Linked DNA regions of Saccharomyces cerevisiae S288C. Changing the gene in region 1 together with any one later gene gives a genetic interaction. Each region holds a gene or a part of one and is shown in the gene's direction. Other genes may lie near its edges.

The links. Genes that interact genetically often act in the same process or in processes that back each other up.
Region 2: mutations in NNF2 (region 1) and SEC16 together harm fitness more than expected from each alone (negative genetic interaction), as found in Saccharomyces cerevisiae (2 studies listed by BioGRID).

The regions. Positions count from the first base shown.
Region 1 is NC_001139.9:654,933-660,303, forward strand, and holds NNF2 (Nnf2p), read left to right. Parts: upstream 1-2,027; coding exon 2,028-4,838; downstream 4,839-5,371. Other genes in the region: CTT1 (catalase T), read left to right, coding at 1-1,390.
Region 2 is NC_001148.4:385,312-393,066, forward strand, and holds the start of SEC16 (COPII coat assembly protein SEC16), read left to right. Parts: upstream 1-1,755; coding exon 1,756-7,755. Other genes in the region: Elongator subunit ELP3, read right to left, coding at 1-1,135. UniProt on the Saccharomyces cerevisiae protein: Involved in the initiation of assembly of the COPII coat required for the formation of transport vesicles from the endoplasmic reticulum (ER) and the selection of cargo molecules. Also involved in autophagy.

The DNA.
Region 1 (5,371 bases):
TCGTTTTTCCACCGTTGGTGGTGAAAGTGGTACACCAGACACTGCAAGAGACCCAAGAGGTGTTTCTTTTAAATTCTATACCGAGTGGGGGAACCATGACTGGGTCTTCAACAATACTCCCGTCTTCTTCCTCAGAGACGCTATTAAGTTTCCCGTATTTATTCATTCGCAAAAGAGAGACCCTCAGTCTCATCTGAATCAGTTTCAGGACACTACCATATACTGGGATTATCTAACATTGAATCCGGAATCAATCCATCAAATAACTTACATGTTTGGTGATAGAGGTACTCCTGCTTCGTGGGCTAGTATGAACGCGTACTCTGGTCATTCCTTCATCATGGTCAACAAAGAAGGTAAGGACACATATGTGCAATTCCACGTCTTGTCGGATACTGGTTTTGAAACCTTGACTGGAGATAAGGCTGCTGAACTGTCAGGCTCCCACCCTGATTATAATCAGGCAAAGCTGTTCACTCAATTGCAAAATGGCGAAAAGCCAAAATTTAACTGTTATGTGCAAACAATGACACCCGAACAAGCAACTAAGTTCAGGTATTCGGTAAATGACCTAACGAAAATATGGCCACACAAGGAATTCCCTTTGAGAAAATTTGGTACCATCACCCTAACGGAGAATGTTGACAATTATTTCCAAGAAATTGAACAAGTTGCATTCAGTCCAACGAACACTTGTATCCCAGGTATTAAGCCTTCTAATGATTCCGTTCTACAAGCCAGACTTTTCTCCTATCCAGACACTCAACGTCATAGATTGGGAGCCAACTATCAGCAATTGCCCGTCAACAGACCAAGAAACTTGGGATGTCCATACTCCAAAGGTGATTCCCAATACACTGCCGAACAGTGTCCATTTAAAGCAGTGAACTTCCAAAGGGACGGCCCAATGAGTTACTACAATTTCGGTCCTGAGCCAAATTATATTTCCAGTTTACCAAATCAAACTCTGAAATTCAAAAATGAAGACAACGACGAAGTATCTGATAAGTTCAAAGGGATAGTTCTTGACGAAGTAACAGAAGTTTCTGTGAGAAAACAGGAACAAGACCAAATCAGAAACGAGCATATTGTTGATGCCAAAATTAATCAATATTACTACGTTTATGGTATTAGTCCACTAGACTTCGAACAGCCAAGAGCTCTATATGAAAAGGTATACAACGATGAACAGAAGAAATTATTCGTTCATAACGTTGTTTGCCACGCTTGTAAGATCAAAGATCCTAAAGTCAAAAAGAGAGTTACGCAATACTTTGGTTTGCTAAACGAAGATTTGGGTAAAGTCATTGCAGAATGCTTGGGAGTTCCTTGGGAACCTGTTGACCTTGAAGGTTATGCCAAGACTTGGTCCATTGCAAGTGCCAATTAAGGCAGCACTATTTATTCATAATTATTCGTAATTATATCTCCATAATTATTTATTCATAAGTTTTCTTTAAGTTTATTCTCTACATCACTAGTTATTACAAATTGGTCGTATGTACAAGCACTAATATTTCATACTTATCGTACTTCATACATAGCAAATCCTGTTAGGAAAAATATGGCAGCAAAACAGATTGGCTGCCTACTTTTGACACATTTTTTTCTAATTCGGTACTTAGATCGGCATGAACTCAACGATTATCGCATTATACGGACAATCTGAAAAAAAAAAGTAGCCTAACTTATGCAGTTGTGTGTTTATAACGTTGAATTCCTAAACCTCTTGAAGGTGTAATATAACAAGTAACATAACTAGGTTTTCACAACTCGTTAGTTTCTATTAAAAGAGGAATAAACAAATTTTATTAGGACTAAGAGGATTATACAGAGTACCAGCAGAGAAAACTTTAAATTCTTTCTGTTATAATAATATCTTACCAAAGTTTTTTGTTTTCTATCTCCACATTTTTCGTACCATCTCTTTAGGTAATCACTCTGAATAACTTTTATTCATATACACCCCAATATTTTTTAAGATTCCACCTATCTCCGTTACATAAAAGGATCCATGCACAATTTTCATGGAGGAACAATTTACTAATCAGAAGAAAGTATCACATCTACAGTCATTAATGAACACTAAAAGGAGTGAACAGCCCACCGAATTTGCCAAAAAACATAGGTTTAAAGATACGCTTGCATTGTTCCTGGTTTTTTTGAGTTTTAACCACTTCACTTCCCTATGTTTATTGGTTTCCTTTATTGTTGCTACCAAATGCAAAGATTTTCTGGCAAATTGTTTTATTATACTTTTCCTATCGAAAAAACCTTCCCGCCATATCGGTGAAGTGGCGCACATAGATATAAGTACTTCCAAAGTGACCAATGGTAGTTCAAACCGAAAATCTAATTCACGATTTTTTGGCAATTCAAAAAATAGCTTCGTCATTCCGATCCCCGTATTAATTTGTGAAATTTTATTTGCAATGTTACTAAAGATTTACGGTGGCGATTATTTTGTTAAGCCAATAAAAAATCTGGCAATTTCTATTATTGCCTCATTTTTGATCAATGATCCAAGCGATTGCTTAAGCTATGCAACTTCATGCTCAGTATTGTATGCTGTGTCAACTAACACTTTTCAAAGAGTGTCACACTTCTTTGACATTATACAGTTATTTGATATGTCTTTACGAGGAACCGGCCAATCAATTAAATTATTCACGGTTTTTCGCAAGTATTCACAGTTTTTCAAAAAGCTTTTCTCTCTATTTTTGCCAATGCCTTTCAAGATGCTTGGCAAACATTCAGACAGTATGATTTATTATCTATCCTTTCACATCCTTTTTTTCTCATTTGCTTCAAGTTTATTACACCCTCATAGACAAACAGCGGAAAACAAGCCATTGAAAAAGGGTTTCAATTCAACTAAACCAGATGTAGCCCGTGTTCAAGGTCTGCAAAAGATGAGAATTTCTTCTTCTTCTTCCGTTTCTGCCGATTCGAACACTTTAGAGGACCAAAGTCCTATGATACCGAACGATCCAGGTGGACTTAGCAGCAGCAATCAAACTATCCATCCATCCCAACAAAATAACTCGCCAGTTCCCCTATCATCACACAGTAATATTTTGAACCCTGCCGCCTCTTATCCTACTGATGCTACTTCTAGTTTTCCCTATTTCACTTCTATGGTCAAGGAATATAAGTCATATCAGCCATCGGTAATCTCTGCTGAAGGAAGCAATTCTCAAGCCGTTACTACTACTACCAGTACAACAACCTCTCCTACAACGTTCAACTTTTCTGGTGATAACACTAGTTTGTCAAATGAAATCTCTCTATCTGATTCCTCGAATGGAAATTCGAAAAAGGATTCTGATTTCTTTTCCCCTTCCAATGACAAGTATACTAACCAACTGTTTGAACTGAATGTTGATTTTGGGAACATGTTTTCTTCTAGCAAATTATCTTCAGACATATCTGTTACATCAAACTTGGAAAATTTTATCCGTCTTCTATTCAGAAGAAAGAATCAACACTTGATTGCACCTCTTTGGTCTATGGTAGTTACATTAAAAACAACGAATTTTGAAAAAAAATACTTACAAGAAACCTCTGAAAATTCACTAACACCAACAAATTCGAATACTTCATACGTCAGTAATCAGGAAAAACATGACAAAGATTTGGACACGATTAATACACATTCAGTTTCATCAAGAATTAGTTTCACCCATGCCGGAAAGTTTAAGAAGAGCGTGTTTAACAATTTCGAACCTTCAAATACTATGGCCCTGATTGCAAAGACAACATCTGATGACTACAATCTTTTAAATTTAGTTTCCACCAATGAAAATATTTTCAATAGAAATGATAATGACTACAAAGTTTGCATTATTGATATTAGCACAAACTCTATTACATTCCATATTGAAAATTTACATGATGGCGAACTCATTGTTTTAGTAAACGGTGTTATCTGGTCAGAAGTTTCTTGCGCTTTAATTTTAGAGCATGTAGGCGAAGAATACGTTGTCGTTAACGGATTAGTCCCTTCTTGTTCTTATGATATTCAATTCATCAACAGACTAAATCACCGAGATGATTATTTGGTTTCTGATTTAATTGTAAGGACTTGTGGGAATAACAATGCGATTGCCGGAAAATTTGAAAACCTTGATTTCAGCTTCCCTTCATACTACCATAGGAAATTCTTATCTCCGTTGCTAACTCTGAAGCATTCCGTGCTAACTACAAACGCAAATTTGTCCGATGAAAGGACAAAATTGAAAAAGACAAAAAAGGAATTCAGCAAGAAGTTAAGTCTTTTGAGACAAGAAATTGATTATTTTAAAGGCAGGATTTCACAGAACGCAACACATGACGAAAAGAGCACTTTAAAAGTCGAAAATTTGAAGGTTGCCCTACAGCAAAGTGAGACTGCGGTAAATAAGTTAGAGATGCAATTGAAAACTCTCACTGAAAAAGAGCTTGAATTAGAAGAGGAATACTTGAAAAAGAAAGATCTACACTTGAAAAATCAATTAGAGTTCAGTAAGTTAGAAGAAAGCTTATCGAAAGACCTGAAAAACTCAGAAGGGAGGTTCCAAAAGGTCAATCAAGAATTAGTTCAACTAGGCTCTAAACTGGACAAATTGAACGCGAGAAACGAGAAGTTACAAAAGGAGGTCGATCAGAACGCAGAAGAGATAGAAAAGTTCAGTACTCAATTTTTGAGTAAAAGAGAAAAGGATAGATTTAGAAGAAAGGAGTACAGGATACGCGAAGCCAATAAATTTGAATTGACTATAAAGGGGTTAGAGCAAGATATCAACAGATTAGAAAATGAGAATGAAAATATACATAGTCTAATTGGTAATAGTTACTGATGGAAGATTAGAAAACAAAGATAGATAAGAATTCGTTTTGTAGCATCCTAAAATTTACTTCTATTGAATATATACATGTATTTATTACTTGGACGTTCTACTTTAAATGTAGTCAGTCGTTTTTTTCTCGATATTGTTTTTTTATTGTTTCCTAATAACTTCATTTGTTACTTTTTTGCCTTTTGTTATTTATGGAAATAATGCAGGTTAACATAAGTAAACATAAAATATGAGAAAAACTAAGAATGTTTGCTGATGTATTGAACAGTTCACATCGTTGTGTCTACTATTAACACTAAGTTGTTGATCAAAACATTCCCTAATTAATAGCTGCCCCAGGACTTGGAAGGCCACACTACTCTCCATGACATCAAAGATACGGCCCAAATAATCTGTATCCTCGATATGAACTTAGGACCACATATTTGGAGCTTGTCCAAAATACTAAAATGGCAGATAACAATTAGATGGTTCCAATTCAAATACATTACAAGCTACGAAAACTAATATTCTATAATTTATACTAAGTTCAT
Region 2 (7,755 bases), on another chromosome or scaffold:
GAATGTCTCTTTGGACACGGTAGATTCTTGTCCATGGGGGCACTAGGGCCAAGATTCTAGCAACTAAGTCCACTAAGGCGTTGGCACTATAAGACTTATACCTGCCCGTTTTCCAAAGTTCGTATAAACCTGTACCCCTAATGACTAAAGTTGGATAGATTTTCAACCCATCAGTCCTAAAATCAGGATTTTCAAAATACTCTTTGAACTGTTCAATATCTCTTTCCATCCCAACATTTGGTAAATCTGGCATCATGTGAGAAACAACCTTATAACCAGCATCTTTAGACACAGCAAAAGTTTCACAAACAGACCTAACGGTGTGTCCTCTATTAGTATCACGAGCAACGTCTTCGTACAAGGACTGAACACCAATTTCTAATCTGGTACAGCCATATTTTAACATATCGTCCAAATGTGTTTGCGTACAATAATCAGGCCTAGTTTCGATTGTTATACCAACACACTTCGTTAAACTTTGTTGCGAATAAAGAATAGCTTCATCAATATCATTACCATTGAACCCAGAAAGTGCATTATGCAATTTCACAATAAAATCTTCACGATATTCTTTTGGTAATGACATAAATGTACCACCCATCAGAACATATTCGACTTTATCGATGGAGTGACCTAACTGTTTCAATTGTTCCACCCTACCACGTGCTTGTTCATAAGGGTCATAACGAGCTCTGATGGCACGCATTGAAGTTGGTTCATAGCCTGTGTAAGATTGTGTAGAATACTCAAAATCTGAATCTGGACCACCTGGACAATAAACACAAATATTACCTGTATATGCAATGTGAGGACAACGATGTGGTTTACACATAACGGCTACCACTGCAATACCCGATGCTGTTCTTACTGGCTTAGCCTTCAATTTGGGTAATAAATATTTTTTGTATTGGTCTGGAATAGAATTAATGATATCGGTTAACCTTGGTTGTTGCTTTAGTTTATATTTCTTTGAATATTTAGTAATCAAACCATTCAGATTAATTTCTCTTGTTGTTCCCGAGGTTAAAGAATCTGTTAACTCTAATGTGATATCAGCACAACATTGTATAAACCTTTCCTTTTCAGGTGCTAGCTTTTTTTTGTTAGTTTTTGGGCCTTTTCCATGACGAGCCATCTTTGTCAGGGTGTTCTTCGATTTTCCTTAGGTGCTTTTAGGACTTGTTTATTTCAAAACTTTGCACTGGATAATTTGAGATGAGCTAACTAAATTTCAAAATTTTTTGACCATTTTTTTTTTTTCATGAGGAAGAGCCAGTGACAGTAAATAATAAAAGGTGAAATGATTAAACAATGAAAGCGGCAGAAAAATAAAATCAAACAGTGGCAGTATTGACTTTTGAAAATCAGAAGTTCATCCTAAGTTAAGACTTTCTTCTTTTAAGTGCTTTCTCCTTCTCTCACTGTCTTATCGCTGTATATCTCATTGTTGAATAATATAACACAACGTTATAAGTGATCATCACTTTCTGATCCATAATTTCAAACCTCAAGCGACCGTACATGTGGCATTTTCCACTATAAACTTACGAGCAAGAGAAAGATATACGGAAAAGGTTAATTGGCAGGTTACACAAGATTTTGGTCATTGAATATTTGCAGCCCTCCTGCTTGAGAAACTGGACAACAACTGTTATCAATATTCCCTTTTCAAAATAGTGGTATTTAACTGGCCATAACCAAGGAAACCGTTGTACCTATTATTTTGTATAGTCTTCATTTAATAACGTGTTAAGAATGACACCTGAAGCCAAGAAAAGGAAAAACCAAAAGAAGAAGTTGAAGCAAAAGCAAAAAAAAGCTGCTGAGAAAGCTGCTAGCCACAGTGAAGAACCACTTGAATTACCAGAAAGTACGATTAACAGCAGCTTCAACGACGACTCGGTGAACCGTACAGAATCTGACATAGCTTCAAAATCTGATGTTCCTCCGGTCTCATCATCTACCAATATCTCTCCGGCTAATGAAACACAACTAGAAATACCTGATACTCAAGAATTGCATCATAAACTGCTCAACGACTCTGATCAACATGATATTACCGCGGACTCAAATGATTTGCCAGACAACTCAATCGTTGAACATGACTCTGTTATTACCCAAACAAAACCAGCCATGTCTCAAGAATACGAAGAGACTGCCGCTCACTTATCTTCGAGAAATCCATCGCTCGATGTAGTCGCGGGAGAACTTCACAATAATAATGAACATACCCAGAAAATTGCCGTATCCGCTGTGGAAGAGGATTCTTTCAATGAAGAAGAGGGTGAAAATCACGACAGCATAATAATTTCATCATTAAACGATGCTACCCCTTCTCAATATAATCATTTTCTCCCATCCGATGGCAATCTTCTTTCTCCAGAATTATCTTCTGGTGATACGCCAACTCACAATGTTCCTCTAGGCACAAAAGACAATGAAATAAATGACGATGAGTATTGTAATGATAAGGAAATTAGTTTGAACGCAAATAATGTGCTTCCTGATGAACTTTCAAAGGAAGAAGATGAAAGATTAAAACTAGAAACGCATGTATCAACCGAAGAAAAGAAACAGGATATCGCTGATCAGGAAACTGCAGAAAACTTATTTACGTCTAGTACAGAACCATCTGAGAATAAAATAAGAAATTCTGGTGATGATACCTCCATGTTGTTTCAAGATGACGAAAGTGATCAGAAGGTTCCATGGGAGGAAGATGTGAAGAAAGATTTTCATAATGAGAACACAAATAATACTCAAGAATCGGCACCGAACACAGATGATCGTGATAAGGGTTATGAAGGAAACGAAGCTTTGAAAAAGTCCGAAAGTTGTACAGCCGCGGACGAGAGGTCGTACTCTGAAGAAACTTCAGAAGATATCTTTCACGGACACGACAAACAGGTAGTTGAAGGCCAAAATGATTTCACTGGGAAAAATATTGAGAATGAAAGCCAGAAATTAATGGGGGAAGGGAATCATAAGTTACCGTTGTCTGCCGAAGCTGACATTATAGAACCTGGTAAGGATATTCAAGATCAAGCCGAGGATTTGTTTACGCAGAGCAGCGGAGACTTGGGAGAAGTTTTGCCATGGGAATCTACTGATAAAAACGCTGATGTAACGAGCAAATCCCAAGAGAAACATGAAGATTTATTTGCTGCTTCTGGAAACGATGAGAAACTTCCTTGGGAAGTTTCTGACGGTGAAGTATCATCGGGAAAGACGGAAAACAGCATGCAGACTAGTACTGAGAAAATAGCTGAGCAAAAGTTTTCGTTTTTGGAAAACGACGACGACCTTTTGGACGACGACGACAGCTTTTTGGCTTCTTCTGAGGAAGAAGACACAGTACCTAATACCGATAATACAACGAATTTAACCTCAAAACCAGTTGAAGAAAAAAAGGCTTCAAGATATAAACCTATTATCGAGGAGGAAGCAGGAATGCGTCAAGAGCAAGTTCATTTTACCAATACTACTGGCATTGTAACACCGCAGCAGTTCCACGGTTTGACTAAAACTGGACTAGGCACCCCCAACCAACAAGTCAGTGTACCAAATATAGTTAGTCCTAAGCCTCCTGTGGTAAAAGACAATCGTTCAAATTTTAAGATAAATGAGGAGAAAAAGAAGTCTGATGCTTACGATTTTCCACTGGAAATTATTTCAGAAAGTTCCAAGAAGGGTCACGCAAAGCCGGTTGCCGTTCCTACTCAAAGGTTTGGCTCAGGGAATTCTTTTAGTTCTTTGGACAAACCAATTCCACAGAGCAGGAAAGGCTCTAATAACTCAAATAGGCCACCCGTGATCCCATTGGGGACGCAGGAGCCTCGATCTTCGAGAACTAACTCAGCGATCTCGCAATCTCCCGTTAATTATGCTTTCCCTAACCCATACAAAATTCAACAACTACAACAGGCTCCTATCCAATCAGGTATGCCTTTACCAAATACCAACATACCTCCCCCAGCATTAAAAGTGGAAACCACCGTTTCTGCTCCTCCAATTCGGGCAAGAGGGGTCAGCAATGCCTCCGTGGGAAGTTCAGCGTCTTTTGGTGCTAGACATGCAACACAGTACGGCCTCAATAACGGGGTACCTCCGGTTTCGCCATATGGTCAAGCTACCATAAATTTGCCAACTGCGAATAAGTATGCCCCCGTCTCTCCTACAGTTCAGCAGAAGCAATATCCATCAGTTGTGCAAAACCTTGGCGCTTCGGCCGTAAATACCCCCAATTTTGTAAAGACCCATAGAGGCCATACAAGCTCTATTAGTTCGTATACACCAAACCAGAATGAACACGCCTCTAGATACGCACCCAACTATCAACAATCTTATCAGGTGCCATATACCTCACAACCTGTTGGTCCTGTAGCTGGGAATTCAAGCTATCAAAGCCAAACCCGAAGTTCTTATGCAGTTCCTATGATGCCCCAGGCTCAAACTTCAGCAAGTATTCAGCCTCACGCGAACATTCAACCGCCTACTGGCATTTTACCTTTAGCCCCCTTACGACCTCTAGACCCCTTACAAGCCGCTACGAACTTGCAACCCCGTGCAAGCAACATAACGGCTGCAAATTCACTACCTCTTGCAAATTTGCCACTTGCTGAAAACATACTGCCAGAAATTATCACGCATCGAGCTACAAGTAGTGTTGCACCACCACGACAGGAAAATAATCCAATTAAAATAGACAACGAGGCTTTATTACGCCGTCAATTTCCGATTTTTCATTGGAGTGCTGCAAACAAGGTCGTGTACGCAGTCCCCCCTATCCCTGACCAATCGCAGTACATGATTTCATCAAGCATTGTACAGGAAATAAAAGTGACACCAATTGACCAGATAATTAAACCGAACGATATGCTCAAAAGCTTCCCAGGTCCTTTGGGTAGTGCCAAATTAAAAAAAAAGGATTTAACCAAATGGATGGAAACCACTATTAAATCCATATCTGAAAATGAATCATCCACTGATATGACTATATGGCAACTATTGGAAATGAAACTAAACGATAAAGTTAACTGGAAAAATATTTCAAAACTACTATACAATTCTGACGAACTTTTAATGTACCTATCTCAGCCCTTTCCAAACGGTGACATGATTCCAAATGCATATAGACTGGATATAAATTGTCAGATGAGAGTCCTGGCGTTCTTACAAACGGGAAATCACGATGAGGCACTTCGCTTAGCTTTAAGCAAGAGGGATTATGCCATTGCACTATTGGTTGGCAGTTTAATGGGTAAAGACAGATGGTCTGAAGTCATTCAGAAATATTTATATGAAGGGTTTACTGCGGGGCCAAACGACCAAAAAGAATTGGCACACTTTCTGCTCCTTATCTTTCAAGTATTTGTTGGTAACTCCAAAATGGCCATAAAAAGTTTCTACACTAATAATGAGACCAGTCAATGGGCATCCGAAAACTGGAAGAGTATCGTTGCAGCTGTTCTGATTAATATCCCAGAAAATAATGAAGATCCACTACTTATACCACCTGTTGTCCTTGAATTTTTGATAGAGTTCGGTATATTCCTCACCAAAAAGGGCTTGACAGCCGCAGCTAGTACATTATTTATTATTGGTAACGTACCACTTTCTAATGAGCCAGTAATGGCAGATTCAGACGTTATATTTGAAAGTATTGGAAACATGAATACTTTTGAAAGCATTCTATGGGATGAAATCTACGAGTATATATTCTCGTATGACCCTAAATTCAAAGGATTTTCATCTATTTTGCCCCAGAAGATATACCATGCATCTCTTTTACAAGAACAAGGTTTGAACAGCCTGGGGACAAAGTATACTGATTACCTCAGTTCCTCAGTTCGAAAACTGCCTAAGAAAGATATTTTAACAATAAACCTCACTCGTGAATTGAGTGAGGTGGCTAGTAGGCTTTCCGAGTCTAATACAGGATGGCTTGCAAAACCAAAACTAAGCAGCGTATGGGGTCAATTAGATAAATCCTTCAATAAATATATTGGTGGCGATGATATTGATGCATTGAATAAAAAAAATGATAAAAAGAAAGTTTTTGATGGGTTCACACCGGGATCTTCTGCCAATTCGTCAACTGTGGATCTCACCCAAACATTCACACCTTTCCAAGCTCAAGTTACTTCGCAAAGCTATGTGGATACTACAGCTCTTTTGCATAATGCCCATAATGTACCAAGCCATAGTGTGCTGCATTCAAAGCCTTCCAATGTGTCAAAGGGGTTAGTTGAAGCAAACTTACCGTATACGCATAGGATCGGTGATAGTTTGCAGGGATCTCCTCAGCGCATTCATAATACACAGTTCGCTGCTGCTGAGCCTCAAATGGCTTCTTTGAGAAGAGTTAGAACAGACCAGCATACAAACGAAAAGGCTTTGAAGAGTCAGCAGATTTTAGAGAAAAAGTCTACGGCCTACACTCCACAATTTGGACAGAACCATAGCGTTCCAATGGAAAAGTCTAATTCGAATGTGCCATCTTTATTTGCCGACTTCCCTGCTCCACCCAAACTTGGAACAGTGCCGTCTAATTATGTGTCTAGTCCTGACTTAGTAAGAAGGGAGTCTATCATATCTACCGGATCAGAATTTCTTCCTCCTCCCAAAATTGGGGTACCTACTAAAGCTAATTCCTCGCAGGGATCGCTTATGTACTCACCAAGTGTGGAAGCTTTGCCTATCGACCCTGTCGTCCCGCAAGTTCATGAGACGGGATACAATGATTTTGGTAACAAACATTCTCAAAAAAGTATGCCTGAAGATGAATCTCACACATCACATGATAATAGCAATGCTGATCAAAATACATTAAAAGACTCTGCAGATGTTACAGATGAAACAATGGATATTGAAGGACCTGGCTTCAACGATGTGAAGAATCTTCTTCCTATGGAGCCCAACCACCAGCCTACGTCTACAGTAAATCCTATACAAACTATTAGTGACGATATCCAACCGATTCTTCAAACTAACGTGGAGGTCCGGGGTACTGATGCATCGAAAATGGAAAATTCACTTCCCTCCATTGAAAATGAAAGAAGTAGCGAGGAGCAGCCAGAAAACATTTCAAAATCAGCATCATCAGCATATTTACCATCAACTGGTGGATTGTCACTCGAAAACAGACCGCTAACTCAGGATGAAAACAGTATCTCAGAGACAGTTCAATCCACATACTTGCCAGCAGGAAGTATTTCAATGGAAGCTAAACCAATTTCTCAAGTGCAAGATGTTCCAAGAAATGTTAATAATAAAGCATCCAAACTTGTGGAGCAACATATGGCACCACCAAAGCCAAAAAGTACTGACGCAACCAAAATGAACTACTCACCATACGTGCCTCAATCAACTGCCGCTAGTGCAGATGGCGATGAATCAACGATTCTGAAAACATCGCCTGCTATATATGCAAGAACTCACCAAGCACATGCATCCAATCCATCACAATACTTTCCTTTGGTCAACCAAGCAAATGAAACTGCTTCATTCGAATTATCTGAATCAACATCCCAGGCACAAAGTAATGGAAATGTTGCTTCAGAAAATAGATTCAGCCCAATAAAGAAAGCCGAAGTCGTCGAGAAAGACACTTTTCAACCTACTATTAGGAAGGCTTCAACTAACCAATACAGGGCTTTTAAACCGTTGGAATCAGATGCGGATAAATACAATGACGTTATTGAAGATGAATCCGATGACGACAATATGTCTACTGATGAGGCAAAGAACAGAAAG